Caenorhabditis elegans: one gene and its partners. The protein of the gene in region 1 interacts with the protein of each later gene in a biochemical or structural test. Each region holds a gene or a part of one and is shown in the gene's direction. Other genes may lie near its edges.

The links.
Region 2: of the proteins of spv-1 (region 1) and cdc-42, one has a biochemical effect on the other in vitro, tested with the Caenorhabditis elegans proteins (one study listed by BioGRID).
Region 3: of the proteins of spv-1 (region 1) and rho-1, one has a biochemical effect on the other in vitro, tested with the Caenorhabditis elegans proteins (one study listed by BioGRID).

The regions. Positions count from the first base shown.
Region 1 is NC_003280.10:7,925,526-7,930,230, reverse strand, and holds the start of spv-1 (Spermathecal Physiology Variant), read left to right. Parts: upstream 1-1,575; coding exon 1,576-1,726; intron 1,727-1,808; exon of another isoform or gene 1,809-1,886; intron 1,887-2,056; coding exon 2,057-2,194; intron 2,195-2,685; coding exon 2,686-2,773; intron 2,774-2,929; coding exon of another isoform or gene 2,930-2,961; intron 2,962-3,642; coding exon 3,643-3,715; intron 3,716-4,587; coding exon 4,588-4,693; intron 4,694-4,705.
Region 2 is NC_003280.10:7,614,717-7,618,874, forward strand, and holds cdc-42 (Cell division control protein 42 homolog), read left to right. Parts: upstream 1-1,735; 5' UTR 1,736-1,740; coding exon 1,741-1,863; intron 1,864-1,916; coding exon 1,917-2,081; intron 2,082-2,131; coding exon 2,132-2,329; intron 2,330-2,674; coding exon 2,675-2,764; 3' UTR 2,765-3,529; downstream 3,530-4,158. Other genes in the region: R07G3.8 (CYRIA/CYRIB Rac1 binding domain-containing protein), read right to left, coding at 3,798-3,893.
Region 3 is NC_003282.8:16,483,007-16,490,843, reverse strand, and holds the start of rho-1 (Ras-like GTP-binding protein rhoA), read left to right. Parts: upstream 1-1,822; 5' UTR 1,823-1,877; coding exon 1,878-1,898; intron 1,899-2,415; coding exon 2,416-2,550; intron 2,551-4,696; coding exon 4,697-5,047; intron 5,048-6,780; coding exon 6,781-6,852; 3' UTR 6,853-7,837. UniProt on the Caenorhabditis elegans protein: Required for ventral migration of epidermal cells during ventral enclosure in the embryo and for cell elongation. Also required for ventral migration of P cells during larval development.

The DNA.
Region 1 (4,705 bases):
GATTAACACTTTTTGTTTAAGTTACGCTGTAATAGTTTGTTTTTCTGGAAAAATAATGGGAACTGCAACAAGAAAATGCTCTTGTTCTAAATTATACTCTACAATATAATTTCTCTTTTCGAATTGTGACACAAAAACTGAAGAACAAAGACAATAAAGTTCGGAAATTGAAATTGAGTTCTCTTGAAATTTTTCTGAAAAAAAAGCACACATTTTTCCTTTTTTTCTGAATTTTCCGAAAAAAAGTTGTCCAGTTTCAAAAACAAAGCAAAAACAAAAACAAAGTTCCTTATTTTAAAAAGTTATTTTTTCCATTCTAGAGTGCTTTTTGAGCATTTCCGTTTCGTTCACCCAATCTGTGGAACCAACAAAAGAAAGCGTGGGGCAGAAAAAGGAAGAATCGCAGACGTCATCCTTCTCTCTTGTGCTCCAGAACATGATGATGATGATGCGGATAGGAAAAGGATAGTTTTTGAGAATTTTTTTGGGAAAAGTTTTCACACCATATTTTGAAAGATGTTTTTTCTCTATTTGAATTTATTTTCATTATTGAAACTGAAATTTCCGGGGTTTCCCATTTTGAAATTTTGAGAACAAGATATTCAGTTAAGAGAATAAATTCAATTATAAAATTGGATTTCTGTAGAAAATTTGTATCATCGTAGATAAAAAAAAAATGTAACGACAAAAATTGTATTCATTCATTTTTTATTTTCTACTGCTATTTTACATTCCGTTTCTGTTTTTTTTTTTTTGGAAAAATAACTTCATATATCCTATTTTCCTCTAAAAGATCCGTGTTCTCAAAATATCAAGAAAATTTCCTGATTCTTTCATTTTCAATAAACCGAACCCTTTGATCAAACCACAGTTCTTGCCAGTAGGCGTTTTCTCACGCATTTCAAGTATCTGCTCCTTTAAAAATTTTAAATTCAGAAATTCGAATCTTTTTGATGAATTCCTTTTTCAAACATTGTTGATTTTAAAATATTCTACTATCAAAATCGCGAAAAAGAGAAGGAATTCGTTGTTTTCACCAAAAAAAATGTATAACGGGAGTCTAATTGATTAGATCTGTCTTTTTTCTTTTTTCGTGACAAAAATGTGAATCCATGTATCTTGAAGCATTGCTTTTCAAGGTTTATGAACTTTCAAACCACCTCTGTTATCAATTTTTGAGATCAGTGAAACGTGAAAAAGAGGAATAGTTCCAGTAGAAAGGAAGGCATTTTTATTGGACTTTTTTTGAAAACTAGCTCAGTAGGAATAGAAAATAGATATATATTTTCCTGGAATGTGCTCTTGTTTTTCTCTAGTTCTCATTCCTAAAAGTATTCTGGAAGTGTCTGAAAAATTATGTCATATCTCTATCGCGCACAACTTTTTCACAATTAAAAACGGAAATATTTTCTTTGAAGCTCTTTTTATGATTATTGTTTTTTGTTGTCTTCCTTTCCTTCGTTGATCATGGAATACTCTTGTAATTGAAACCGCTTCAATGAGCTCTTTCTTTAATTTATTCTCAAATATTTTCAGACAAACTCTCAGAAAGTTGACTGAAATCAAGTCGACGCAATGTCGTCGACGAGCAGTATATGCTCTTCAAATGATGCCGATTTCATTGTTGACACCAGAATTCCGGCATCAATACGTAGAGATATTGATCGATTTTCAGTTTTTATAAATCGACTTCGGTCAACTTTGGATCTCAATTCTTCGGTTGTTGGTATGTCTGAAAATTAAATTTTTTTAAAAATTATTTATAGAGTGTAGCGGAAATTCAGGAAAACGCGCAAGGTTAAGAAAATACAACTAGATTTTTAAATGTAATGTTTCGGTGAATGGTTTAAAATTTGAAACTATTTTTCAGCAAAGCCTTGAAAATCGAAAAGCCTATTTAATAATGTACTAACAGTTATTTTGGAGCACTAAATGTTTTATCTGATCCTTGAAGTTTCCTACGATCGAACTGTAACTTCCAGAGCTTACATGTTTTTTTTTTAAATTAACGTTATGTAATACTCAACTTCCTCATCTGAAATTACAAATTTTGCAGACGGTGAATCAATGTGTGTAAATGTGCATGCATCATTGGAAATGGTGTCAGAATCCATGCGGGACTTGTTTAAATACTCTCAATTCAAAACAAATCCCATCATTTTGCTGTCTCTTCAACTTGTGCAAGCCGTCAAAGGTATGTGTAAGTGAGAGCATATTCTCTCATCTTCTTCTCTTCTGTTGCTCTTCTGCACACATTTCTCATTTAATTTTACTCTCTCTTTTCGTGGAAAAAGACAAAAAAAAGTTGTTTTATGTGCATCATCACAGGAATACTAAACGTATTTCATTAGGCCAATGTTCATTTTATTTCCGGCATCATTTGATAGTTCCTCTGATATTCCAATATATTTCAGTTTCAGAATTACTATTATTAGGTTTAATTCTAGATACATGTTATGTAATTGTTTATTAGGAGTTTGAGCTTTTACATAATTTTGTAAAAATTGTAACGATTTGACTTTATTGGCGTAGAATTTTATCAGTCATAAAACCTACAACGATTTCAAAAAAATTAATCTCAAAGTTTCATTCAATCAGTATAATCAATTTGTAATGCTGTTCCGTACACTGACACCAGTCTTCTCTGAACCTGTCAAGAGAAGTCTGAAAAATTGTTCATTCCAGACTTGAAATTTGATACGTGCTCTGTGGATACGACTCCGGTTCTGAACATTATCGATCAGCTGGAATCAGCTGTTTTAAACATCATTCTGTGAGTTCCCGTCACCTTCATTCCCACACACCCACATTTCTCACCTCGTTCTTTTTTCTTTCGATCTTCCTCTCTCAATGATTTGTTTCGGTTTGATTTTTGAGAGTTAGACGTTTTTCCCTCTACCGGTAGGAGGAATGCGTGTTTAGGTGAAATATGGATTTTGAACGAGGAAGGAATTGGATAAGGTAATTCAAAAACTCTCGAAAATTCTCTAAAACATTGTATTAATTAGAAAATTTAAATAGCTTGTTTTTTTAATTGGCAGTAGCCTTGAGAAATTGTTTTTAACCTGGTAGTTCGGAATTATATTTTTTCTTGCATCAAAAGATTGTTTAAAAAAATCAATTCAAGTTTTATATTTTTCGGAAAAATTGATTGAGCTTATCCTTTCTGTAAACTGAAACAATTCAAAAGTTAAACAAGCCATTTATTCATTCGATTTATTTTTGCATGGGAATATTGATCATTCACATCGTTTCAATTGAATGATGCTGTTTCAAATGTTCAAAATATTTTCTCTGCAAACGCTGCTCCGACGAGACGCTACTAGATTAACGGTCTACGCTCATATACCAAATCACGCATCCAGTAAAAAAGTGTGTCTAGTCGCGCCTTTTCTGTACCTTTTTGAAATATTTAATTGTTTAAAACTTTCTCACACAGATGGAAATGCCAATAAATATTGGCATTTCACTTTTCTGGTTATAACTAAAATGTTAGATTATTCAAGATTTAACAAAAAACGTTGTTTCCAACGAATTTAGATTCTTTCTAAGTAGAAAACTACGCAGGGTTTTTTAAAAATCTGAAAAGAGCGTTTAGTGTTATTGAAATTAAATTCAAAATTATTCATTATTCATTTTCAGAAACCGTCATATTGTTTCATCGGTTCATCATACGCCGAGTAGAAGTTCAACGTTAGGTCGCTGGAAACAAAATGTAAGCTGCATTCTGATCTACAAAAAAATCTTAAAATTGATATTCCAAAAATTTCGAGAAACGTTGTTTTTTGGTAGCGGTTGCTCTCCTGTTTCGTTTACATACACATACGTATTTTGTTTTTGTATGTGTCAATCCATGGTTTTCTATTTTCCCTTTTCTTCAACTTTTCGTTCTTCAATTCACTCCCAACCTTTATTCATAGTTCTTCTTTTTCAGTTCATTTACTAAATTATTTGTTTAATGCGGTCTCCCAGAAATAGGTCCTATGGGAGAGTAAGTTGAAACATATTTGATTAATAAGATTTTGAATAGTATAAAACAAAATTTCCTGCTGAAAAAGTGAAACATTTGAACATCTATTTATGTATGAGGAAAATGAGTTTCAGATTTTCTAAATCGTATTTGAAGTTCTTTAAATCCCAAGTCAGCGATGTCAAAATAGCAAACCAAAACCATGAGTCAGATGACAATATTCTCCTCAAATTTTCCAAAAATTATGCAAATTTTTTTATCTTATGTTCCTTGTGATCTGTTCAAATTTATTTCGAAAATTGTAAAACACAATTATTATAATATTTTTCTATTAGAATGAAACGTTTTATAAAAGCAAAATACGAAAATAATCCGGTAATGTTAACTAATAAACTTTCAAATTTAACATTTTTGATAGCAAGATTTCTGAAAAATGTTCCTAGTGAAAACTGTTCACAGTTGTTTTAAATTGTGGTAAAAGTTACTTTTTTGAATTTAAGTTTTGCTGCCTTGAATACAGTAACCTATTTATTCAATGACAGTTTAAACTAAAACATTTAAAAAAAAAGAATGTTTACTATTTTCTATAAAACTGCAATATTCTGATTCATTTTTAGAATTCCACTGATTCATATCTACGGCAGAGTGGTCCTCTTAACTCAGTATCTCAAACATTGCAACGGAGACATTCCACTCATCAAACCAATCCGGATCCCAATGATCGTGAGCTTTCGG
Region 2 (4,158 bases), 310 kb from region 1:
ATTGGGGGACTATTGATCGAACAATAAGGAAGAAGAGAAGTACGCGCCGTCGGTTATCGAAACTCCAAATTTTTCTTCTTTTAATTGGGAAAAGTATTACGAACATGTAATTTCATGGAATTCACACGGTTTACAATGAAGTTATCAAGAGAAAATATGCAATTCTAAAAATTTAGGGCAGATTGAATCGTCGATTGGATTGAAGTGAAAGAAGAGAAATAGAAATTTCGCGAGTGAGATTCAATCGGAGCATTGTTAGAATTCTATCTAGAAATGTAAGACAAAAAATACGAAATAGCATATTGAAATATAAAACCTTAAAATTAAAAAGAAGGCAATTTTAAAATTAATTTTACGAAATACAATTGAGAAAAAATGGAAAACACAACGGATTCAATCGAAGTTAATATTCTAGAGATGGTATTTATAAATTGAGGACAAATATTCTGCACTAGGAGAAACAAGAAAAAAGAAAGAAGTTTCTGGCTGGCAATCGTTCGCACAGGAAAAATAAAAAACTAAAATGGCCGCCCGTCTGTTAGCATGGAACGGGTTACGCTAGTTATAGACTAAGCTTACATACAAAATATGTATGTATAATATCCTCACAGCGTAACAAAGTGAGATATAGTTTAAATTCTAGATGATGACTTTAGAAATCCTATTTGGTGGTTTTACGAAGTTTACAGCGTCATTTCTAGACTGAAACTGACCAGTCTGGGATATCATTTGTCTAATCAAGTACTCTATCTAGATAACTGACCGATCTAATAAGTTTTCACGAGTTACGGGACCTAAATTTGAATCCAATAATTCGGTGACGACTGGCGACCCTATGTTAGATGTAGTGATGTCTCCATTCTCTCAATACTCTCTCGTCTTTTTCTCTGCGTATCTCACCACTAGCGTAGTCTATGAGTGCGAGCGGCCGCGTCGCGGTCGTCTTTAGGCTCGCCGACAAACTGTCCACCATCTTCTTTTTTTCCTTTTTTCGCCGTGTTCAACAAAGCTCATTCACGCTTTTCGTTGTTTTACAGGCTTTTATTGTTTTTTCTAATTATTGATTATTCATTTATAAGAGCAGAATTAATCAATAAACGTAGGTAGACGATCGAAGTATCCTATCAGTTTTTAATTTGATAAATTTTCTCGAAAGGAGCAATCATGTTTTAAATTATTTAAAAAATGGTCCGCTTAAGTTTGTCTGACTGTTTAACAATTATTGAAATCATTTTCGTGACATTTTATTGAACATTGCTTCCAAATTCCCCTAACATAATCCTGACTGAGATGTTCCAGTGTTTCATGTCGAATTATTCCTATTTTTGTACCTTTTCTTAAATATAACTAGTTTCAAATATATGCAAGTTGTTTGGTACGGAAAACCGATTCAAACTTCCGACCAGTTACCGATGAATCATTGCCAAAATTCCTCATCTAAAGAATTATACGCACAAGTTGTTTTGGCCATTTTGCCTTATTTCTTCATCGTTTATTAAGGCGTTTACCGTTTTTTTTTCTTGCTCTTTCTTCGATAATTATTGCTCCCAATGGTAAAGAAACGCTCGTGGCATTTCGAAAGAGACTATTGATTTTCTGCCTGATGTTTCGCAATTCGTTTTCATTCTCTAGTTATCTCTCCTTTTAAAACGTGTGCGTGCACATTTATGTGACTCATCCGTATTTTTCACTATAAAGACGTAATTTTAATACTTTTATTCATTTTTTTTTTCAGGCGAAATGCAGACGATCAAGTGCGTCGTCGTTGGAGATGGAGCTGTCGGTAAAACTTGTCTCCTGATCAGCTATACCACAAACAAGTTTCCTTCTGAGTATGTGCCGACAGTCTTCGACAATTACGCCGTAAGTTTAAGAAAAAAAAATTATTTTATATAAAAATAATTTCCGAATTTCAGGTCACAGTAATGATCGGTGGCGAGCCATACACATTAGGATTGTTTGATACTGCTGGACAGGAAGATTACGATCGATTAAGGCCTCTATCGTATCCACAGACCGACGTGTTTCTTGTTTGCTTCTCCGTGGTTGCTCCAGCTTCATTCGAGAATGTCCGAGAAAAAGTAAGAAATATTGTTCTCGAATTTATTCTATATATCTGAAATTGTTTTAGTGGGTGCCTGAAATTTCGCATCATTGCTCAAAGACCCCATTCTTGTTAGTTGGTACTCAAGTCGATCTCAGGGATGATCCAGGAATGCTCGAGAAACTGGCAAAAAACAAGCAGAAACCAGTGTCAACGGATGTTGGAGAGAAGTTGGCAAAGGAATTGAAAGCAGTGAAATACGTTGAATGCTCAGCGTTGACGCAGGTGAGTCATTCTTTCCAAAATAGTCATTGATAATATTGAAACATTAAAATAAAATATCATCCAATCCACGAAACCTAATCAAATAATAAATTTTTAAATATTAAAACGAGGCTCTTGTGGAAATACGTGACACTTTAAAATATAAATATCACTTTTCAGTTAAATTGTTGCTTTATATTTAGCAACGGTCATGTTTTCGGGAAAAACGAACAACCAGAATTCTGTTTTTATTGTGCAAAAAATTATCTCCTGAAATGCTCTATATTCCGGCTGAAAATACCATAGTTTTCATATTATGTTGATTAAAAACGCTTGTATATTGAAGTTTAAATAGTTTATTTTCAGAAGGGACTGAAAAATGTATTCGACGAAGCCATTCTGGCCGCTCTCGACCCACCACAACAGGAGAAGAAGAAGAAGTGCAATATTCTCTAGGAACGTCTTCCTTGTCTCCATGTTTTCCTCTGTTTTGTGACTGTGTTTTTCTTTCTATGTCCAAATTTTCTTAGCCCCCGACTTCCACTCTTCTCATACTTCTAAATTTCCCTGAAAAATGCCAAACGAGAAGCGGTTGCTGTTATTTTTGACAGCATCATAGAAGATGATTTTCTTCAATTCGTCTCCTGTAACTTATCCAGTAGAATCTCGATGAGCATGATTCCAGAATTTTTTAATTGTTTCGTATAGAATTTCGATAAGCAGGGCAGTTTATAGTTTCTCATCTGTTTTCGAATTTTTATCGAATAATCCCCTCGAAAATTTTTAAAAGTTCATCCAAATTAACTATCATTCTTTTCAATGACACCTCCTCTTTAACATTTTCGTCGTCGTTTTTATTTTCTTTTTTATCCCAAAACGTGTTTATAGTCCGGATACACCGTTACGTAATGCGCCTTCTCCTTTCCCATGGTTCTTTTTATAATTATATAATAGGTGTTGTATAGCACAACCAACTACATCCCGAGTCGCTTGTTTCTTCATTTGCTGCTCAAAAATACCGACCAGTTTGTTTTTCTTCTTTCCTTTTTTTTGTGCTTTTCTGCCTTCACACATCCATTTCCCATTTTAAACTGTTTTCTCATCCACTACGTTTTGTGTCTCCCTCCTCCTTTCTCCAGAACAACTCTGTATTTTAATTTTTCTACATATTGTTGTTATATATTTGCGATCCAAAACAATAAAGGTGTGATATAAAAAATTAAGATGTTTATAAAAGATCTTGAAAAGTATACAAGTGGGTGTTGTAGAAAAAGAAGAACCGGAACCATAAGGCATTGAGAAAAATAATTAATGAGTGGGTGAATTGGAACGAAAAATAATTATTATCACTGACAAAAAGTACTGTTTGACGAGGAGAGGAACATAATCACCGTGTATGAGGAAATGGGCTTCAACTAGAAACGATAAGAGAACATAAAATAGAGGCAAGGATGACTAGAATTAATGAACAAATTGACAAAAAATGAAATTATTTCACTTCAATCAAATGACGAAGAGATTTTGGAGTACTTGAATCATTATAATGTTTTGTTGTGAAACGAAGACCAGCAAGTAGACAATCAGACTGAAAATAAAACAATTAATATGGGTTGCTCAATTTTATTCTAATTTTTATTATGGAAGCGCAGAAAAATGCTCATTTTGAAAGCGCGTTTGCAATCGCGCTTTACGGACAAACTGTTGGGTCTCGTTAGGTATTCGCAGAAAACTAGAAATTCGAACATGTTCAAACATTTTTCGTCTGCTTTAAATGCTTTCCGCTATTCTTTTAAATTAATTTCAGTCCGAAATTGATGAATTAAAATTTATAAACGAAAAAAAAATTCGAT
Region 3 (7,837 bases), on another chromosome or scaffold:
GGCCATAATTTTTGTGTTCCCGTTGGGACCTCTATGTAGGCGTTAAAACGCATGCCTGCCTGACCATAAGGCGACCTCTGCCTGCCTGCCTGACCTTACGACCTCCATCCGTGCCTCATATTCAATTTTTTCATCTCTAAAATTGTTTTTCACCAAATTCATAAAAATGGGAAAATTTTAAATCTGTAAATTCTCAGGCAGGTTTCAGGCAGGCAGTGGAACCGCGCCTGCCTACCATGGAAGTCCTAGTTCCCGTAATATGGTCGATTTTCGAAGAAAAAAAATCCGGCACTTCCGCTGACTCACGTAGTGCCAGGCTGCTGTCCCATCACGGGTTGATCTACAAAAAATGCGGGAATTTTTTTGGCCCAAAAATACGTGACGTCAGCACGTTCTTAACCATGCGCGAAATCAGTTGAAAAGTCTGCGCGTCTCAATCAACTCCCGCATTTTTTGTAGATCAACGTAGATCAAGCCGAAACGGGACACACTCTGACCACATTTCCGCTGACTAATTGTGATCTACTTCTTATCATCCCGCCAACCTCCCCCGCCACACCCCAGTTTTTTCAGACATTCCCCACTATCGGTTTGAATTTTCTTCCTCTCACCTCCCTCGCCACTCTCTCTCTCTCTTTCACACAAGATGAATCATCATTGGCATTCAATTTGCAAATCGATGTCTCCGCTCTCTGTGTTCTCTGTGTTCTCTGTGTCTCTCCCCACTCTCTCTCTCTCCCATCATCATCATCATCACTGTACCATTCTCTATGTCAGTGTCGTTGTGTGTGTGTGAGTGGTGTGAGTGGGGTGTCTCCAACCAACACATACAGTAGTGACTCACTACCAGTGATCTACCCAGTGGCCATAATTTTTGACGTCTATACGTTTTTTTTTTGCCGAAAAAATTGCTCCAAAAAAGCAATTTTTGTGGTTTTCCAAGCGAAAATCTGGAAATTTTCTGAAAAATTCCATTTTCACCGTTGAAAATTGCGATTTTCGTGATTTTCCACGTTTTTGAAGTTTTTCGGCCATTTTCAAGCTATTTTCCGTTGCTCGAATTCGGTTGAATTCCACCAAATGCACAAATTTGTTCAGAAATTTGGAAATTCGCCGGATTTTCATGGATATTCTGGAAAAATTCCATTTTTTAACGTTGAAAATTTGGAATTTTCGGTCAAAATACGACCAAATTCACAAATTTATTTGGAAATTTGAAATTTTTCTGCGAAATTCCATTTAAAAACGTCGAAAATTCCATTTTTCCATAGATTTTCGTGGCGAAAACTTAAATTTCCACCCTTTTCAAGCGATTTTTCCGTTGAAAAAGCGACCAAATTCACAAATTTGGCCGAATGAATTTCACGGAAAATTTTGAAATACCTCCTTAAAGGCGCAGGGACTTATTCAGATGGGTCTCGCCGCGAGAACACAGTTTTTTTAAATTTTTGTGGCTTTTTCAATGAAATTACTTGATTTTTAGCGAATTTTGTCGTTTTCCTCTCATTTTTTTTGGTGATTAAGACAATTTTCACCAAAAAAATGGGAGAAAAACGACAAAATTCGCTAAAAATCAAGTAATTTCATTGAAAAAGCCACAAAAATTAAAAAAAACTGTGTTCTCGCGGCGAGACCCATCTGAATTAGTCCCTGCGCCTTTAAGGAGGCATGTGTCGAATACTCATGAAATTGCTCATTTTCAAGCGATTTTTCCCGATAAAAGCCCATTTTTCTCGCATTTTCTCCTGTTTTTTCTCTTTTAAATATTTGTTAATCTCAATTTTCCAATCTAATTTTTTCTAATTTTCCCTTTTTTTTGCAGGGCTCTACGGGTGTTCCCTCTCGCGTTCCTCACTCACACACACACATAGAGATAGATGGCTGCGATTAGAAAGAAGGTGAGCAGCAGCTCCTCTCATTCTGATGCTCCGCGGCTCATTAAATTGTGCTCAATTGGAGAGAAAATTGGAGAAAAAACGACGAAAGTCGATAAATTCTCCTTGAAATTACAGAAATTTCAGTTTTTTCAGCAATTTTTCGCGAAAATCGATGTTTCTCGGCGATTTTGGGGCTCTGAAGCCATTTTCATTGAAATTTAGTGAAAAAAATATGTGTTTTATCTAAAATAACTGAAAAATGGCTCAAAAATTGTCGAAATAATAGTTTTTGACAATTTTTGAGCTCTTTTTCAGTTTTTTTCAGATAAAATACATATTTTTTCACTAAATTTCAATGAAAATGGCTCCAGAGCCCAAAATCACACGAAAATATCGATTTTCACGAAAAAAAACTGAATTTTTTGTCATTTCCCTTGATTTTGAGGCGAATTTATCGATTTTTGTCGTTTTTTTCCCGAAAAAATCGAAATTTTCTCGGAAATTCCACTTTAAAATTGACTATTTTTTTGTTTTGCAGTTGGTGATCGTCGGCGACGGAGCCTGCGGTAAAACTTGCCTGCTCATCGTTTTCTCAAAGGATCAGTTCCCAGACGTGTATGTGCCGACTGTTTTCGAGAATTATGTTGCCGACATTGAAGTTGACGGAAAGCAGGTGCGGATTGGATGAAGAAATTGTGAAAAAATGCGATTTTTGAGCCGAAAATCGAGTTTTTCGTTCGGAAATTGACCAAAATGAAGGAATTTGTGATTTTTGAGCTGAAAATCGTGAAAAATTGCGATTTTTGAGCTAAACACGTTGTTTTTTCGACAAATTTTGACTAAAAGGAGCAAATTTGTGCTTTTCAGCCGGGTTTGAGCTTATCATTGAAAAAATTGGCTCGAAACAGTGAAAAATCGCGTTTTTTGAGCTAAAAGTCATGTTTTTCCGATAAATTTTGACTAGAAGGAGCAAATCTGTGATTTTGAGCTGAAAATAGTGAAAAATTGCGATTTTTGAGGAAAAAAAATCGTATTTTTGAGTCGAAAATTGCCTTATATTTTTTTAAGCTGAAAATCGTGTTTTTCAGCTATTTTTTTGCTGAAAATTCCCTATTTCTCAAAGTTTTCGTGAAAATTCCCCGTTTTTTTTACCAAAAATTTAAGAAAAATTGGCAAAAATGACTGTTTTTCGCCTATAAATTGACTGAAATGCACACACAAATTTACGATTTTAAGCAAAATTTTGAGGAATTTTGAGAGATTTTTCAGAAAAACTTGTGTGTTATTTTTCGAGAAAAACAGTATTTTCTGCCATTTTTTTACCTAAAAATCCAGGTTTTTAGCTAGAAATTCAAAATTTTCCAAAAAATGCCAATTTTTTGCTGAAAATCCGAGTTTTCGCCCCCCGAAAATTCGAATTTTTTATCCAACAATCCAAATTTTAAACCTAAAACTCCTGGTTTTACACCAGAAAATTCGAATTTTCTCATCTGAAAATCCAGGGTTTTTCACAAGAAAATTCGAATTTTTTACCCGAAAATCTAAGTTTTTCCTCTAAAAATCCAATTTTTTAACCTAAAAAATTCAAATTTTTGCTGAAAATCCAAGTTTGCTAGCTGCAAATCCAGGTTTTTCCCTTTTCAAATTTTACCAGGAAATCTAAGTTTTTCGGCTGAAAATCCGAGTTTTTAGCCACAAAATATATAAATTTTTCCAAAAAAAAAACCAATTTTTACTTATAAATCCAAGGTTTTTAGCTAGAAATTGCCATTTTTCATATTTTAAAATCCAAAATTTTCACCCGAAAATCCAGATTTTTACTCTAAAAAATCCAATGGTTTTTACCTAAAAAAAATTCAAAATTTTCCGAAAAGTGCAATTTTTTTGCTGAAAATCCGAGTTTTTACCTCAAAACTCCAAATTTTTAACCTAAAAAATGCACATATTTTTCCTCTAAAAATACAATTTTTACCGAAAAATCCAGGATCTCTAGCTGACAATTCAATTTTTCATTAAAAATCAAAGTTTTCCCCAAAAAAACCATTTTTTTAGCTGAAAATTACAATTTCTTACCTAAAATTCCAAATTTTCCTCATAAAGATTTTACTTATCTAAAAATTCAAATTTCTAGAAAAAAATCCGAGTTTTCTTCTCTAAAATCCGTTGTGTTTTTAACCTTAAAAATTCAAATTTTTCCAAAAATAGCGATTTTTGCTGAAAATCAAAAATTTTCCCTAAAAATATCAATTTTTACCTGAAAATTCAAATTTTTCACCTAAAATTCCAAGTTTTCTAGCTGAAAATTCAAATTTTTCTAAAAAAAATAGCAATTTTTGCTGAAAATTTAAGTTTTTTACCCGAAAATCCAAGTTTTTAACCTAAAAATTCCAAATTTTCCCTAAAAATATCAATTTTTACCTGAAAATTCCAAGTTTTTAACCTAAAATCCAATCCAAAATTTTAGCCTAAAAAATTCATATTTTTCCTTTAAAAATACCACCATATTTACCTAAAAATCCAGGTTCTCTAGCTGAAAATTCAAATTTTTCTAAAAAAAATAGCAATTTTTGCTGAAAATCCGAGTTTTTCGCCCGAAAATTCAATTTTTCATCCAAATATCCAAATTTTAAACCTTATAAATTCAAATTTTTCCAAAAATAGCGATTTTTGCTGAAAATCCAGATTTCTTCCTCTAAAAATTGAAATTTTTAACCTAAAAAATGCATATTTTCCTCTAAAAATACAATTTTTACCTAAAAATCTCGGGTTTTCCCTAAAAATTCAAATTTTTTCACTTAAAAATCCGAAATTTTCTGCAGGTCGAACTTGCTCTATGGGATACAGCTGGACAAGAGGACTATGATCGTCTGCGTCCACTCTCTTATCCGGATACTGACGTCATTCTGATGTGCTTCTCAATTGATTCACCCGATTCACTGGAGAATATTCCAGAAAAATGGACACCAGAAGTCAGGCATTTCTGTCCAAATGTTCCGATTATTTTGGTCGGAAATAAACGAGATCTTCGTAGTGATCCACAGACTGTTCGAGAATTGGCAAAAATGAAACAGGAGCCCGTGAAGCCTGAGCAGGGACGAGCAATTGCTGAGCAAATTGGAGCATTTGCATATTTGGAGTGCTCTGCGAAGACTAAGGACGGAATTCGTGAGGTACAACAAGCAGCAGTAGCACCGAATTGAGAGATGGAAATTATTTTGGAAATTGAGCGAAATTTTTGGAAATTTCAGCCGAGAAAACCCAAAAAATTTTGAATTTTTATGAAAAAAAGGGTTTTCAGAAAATTCGAGCTCAGAATTCCAATTTTTCTGCAAAAAATGATGACTTGCGAAGAAAAATTGGAAATTGTGCGAAATTTCCAGAAATTTCAGCCAAGAAAACCCAGAAAATTGCAATTTTTATGACATTCTAATGATTCGAGCTCAAAATTCGTGATTTTTGCGAAAATTTATATTTTTGACGATTTTGGCCTCTAAAAAGCTGTAAAAACTGCAAAAAATCCGAATTTCAATATTTTATGGGAAAATTGGGTGGAATTTTCGGAAATTTCAGCCTCGAAAACCCAGAAAATTGCAATTTTTATGAAAAAAAAAATGGATTTTCAGTGATTTTCTGAAGATCCGAGCTCAAAATTCCAAATTCGACGATTTTGGGATATAAAAAGCTGCAAAAATCCAAAGTTTTCGTGAAAAATTTTCCGAAAAGTTGCAAATTTGTGGAAATTTTCCAGATTTTTTGAAAAAAAATTTTTCAATTTATGTGAAAAAATGAATTTCTTATGATTTTTTAAAGATCCGAGCTGAAAATCGACGATTTTGTGCTCTAAAAACTGAAAAATCTGAAATTTCAATTTTTCATGGAAAATTATGGAAAAATGATTGGAATTTCCGGAAATTTCAGCCGAGAAAACCCAAAAAATTTTGAATTTTTATGAAAAATTCCAGATTTTGGCGAAAATCGATATTTTTCGACAATTTTGGGCTCTAAAAGGCCGTATAAATTTAAAAAAAAACTGATATTTCAATCTTTTTCTTGTAAAACTTCACCTGGAAGATATTTTCGATATTTTTCGACAATTTTCCGACAGTTTCAGCTGAATTTTCTAAATTTTTTGGAAATTTGGCCTAAATTCAGTCAAAAATCCGATTTTCGCTTCGAGACCCAAAAACATTGATTTTTTTAAATGAAAACTTAAAATATGTCCAAAAATTTCGATTTTCCAAAAGTTTAAATTACAAAAAATTCAATTTTTTTGGAGAAAATCACTTTAAAAAAATATTCGAAAAATTGGAAAAATTACAGATAAAAATTCAATTTTTGCGGAAAAAAAAATCGTTCTATTTTGAACAGAAATTTTCGAATTTCCCACAATTTTTTCCAATAAAATTTAAAAAATGGCTCAAAATTGAGCTAAAAGTCTCAATTTTCAACAAAAGTTCATCTAATTTTCCCCCAAATTTCCAATTTTTTCCAAGAAAATCGAAAAAAAGTTATTTTTCTGATTTTCTTTTAAAAAAAAAATTCAGCTAAAATTCTCACTTTTCCATTGAAATTTCCCCGAATTTCCAATTTTTCAGAAAAAAATTTGGAAAAAAGTCTTTTTTTTTTTAATTTTAATAAATTTCAGTTCAAATTTGAGGTTTTTAGCTCAATTTTGAGCCATTTTTCTGATTTTCATTGAAAAAAAAATAATTTAGCTGAAATTCACCAGTTTTCCCCCAAATGTTCAATTTTTTCAAATAAATTTTTAAAAAAAATTTACAATTTACAATTTTTTCCTGATTTTTTTCCAGAAAAAAGTGAAAAATTGCTCTAAAAGTCTCAATTTTCAGCTAAAATCCGAAAAAAAATCGATTTTTTTTTCACTAATTTTTTCCAATTTCAGGTATTCGAGAAGGCGACACAGGCGGCATTGCAACAGAAGAAGAAAAAGAAGAGCAAGTGCATGATTTTGTAAATCAATCGATAAAATGTCTGCTCTTCTTCTCTCTAATTCTCTCGTTTTTTCTCTCCCTCTTCAAAAATTGATTTTTCATCATTTTCCCCCCATTTCCCCCATACAAAATTTGAAATTCGCGCTTCTCTATTCCAATTTTTTGAGGTGGTGGCCGTGGCCTTGAAACTTGAAAAAGTTAGGCCACCGCTCTCTCTCTCTTTCTCTCTGAAATTCCAAATCACACATCTCCTCTCCCGCCCACACACACACACACATTTTATAGCTTAATCCCCGAATTCCCCGAATTAAAAAAAAAATTTCCGTTTTTTTTTTTGATTTTCACAATGTCAAACTGTGTTATTCCTCCGTTACCCCTCCGACGCGCTTACACACTTTTTTCTTTAAAAAATAATTTTTTCTCTGCCAAAATCACTAATTTTTCATTTTTATTGAAAAAACCTCCATCGCCCCATCGCTACTTTCCTATCTTAGCTTCAATGTAACAGGTTTCTATTTTTTTTTCGTCGAATTTTTTTTCCTAGCGAGCTTTAGCCAAGGATGCCGTTTTTCGACGATTTTGTAGAAAATTTTTTCAAAAAAATTGGACAATTGGCCAAAATTGAGCTATTTTTTGAGAAAATCCGGAAAAAATCGGAAATTTTCCGTTTTCTCCTGAAAAATCGGAAATTTCCCTTTTTTTTTACGAAAAAATCGATTTTTAGCTATTTTTCGAGAAAATCTGAAAAAACAAAAAAATTCCGTTTTCTCCTAAAAAATCGGAAATTTCCCGTTTTTTTAAATGAAAAAATTGAAAAAAAAAAATCGATTTTCACCACATTTTGAGATATTTTTACTGAAAAATCGGAAAAAAATCGAAAAATTTTCGATTTTTAATGAAAAATCGGAAAAAATCGAAAATTTTTCGATTTTAAGGACTCTTGGCTCCAGAGCTTGCTCCAGAAAAAAATTATCGATTTTTCTCGATTAATTTAAGAAATGCGTGCGA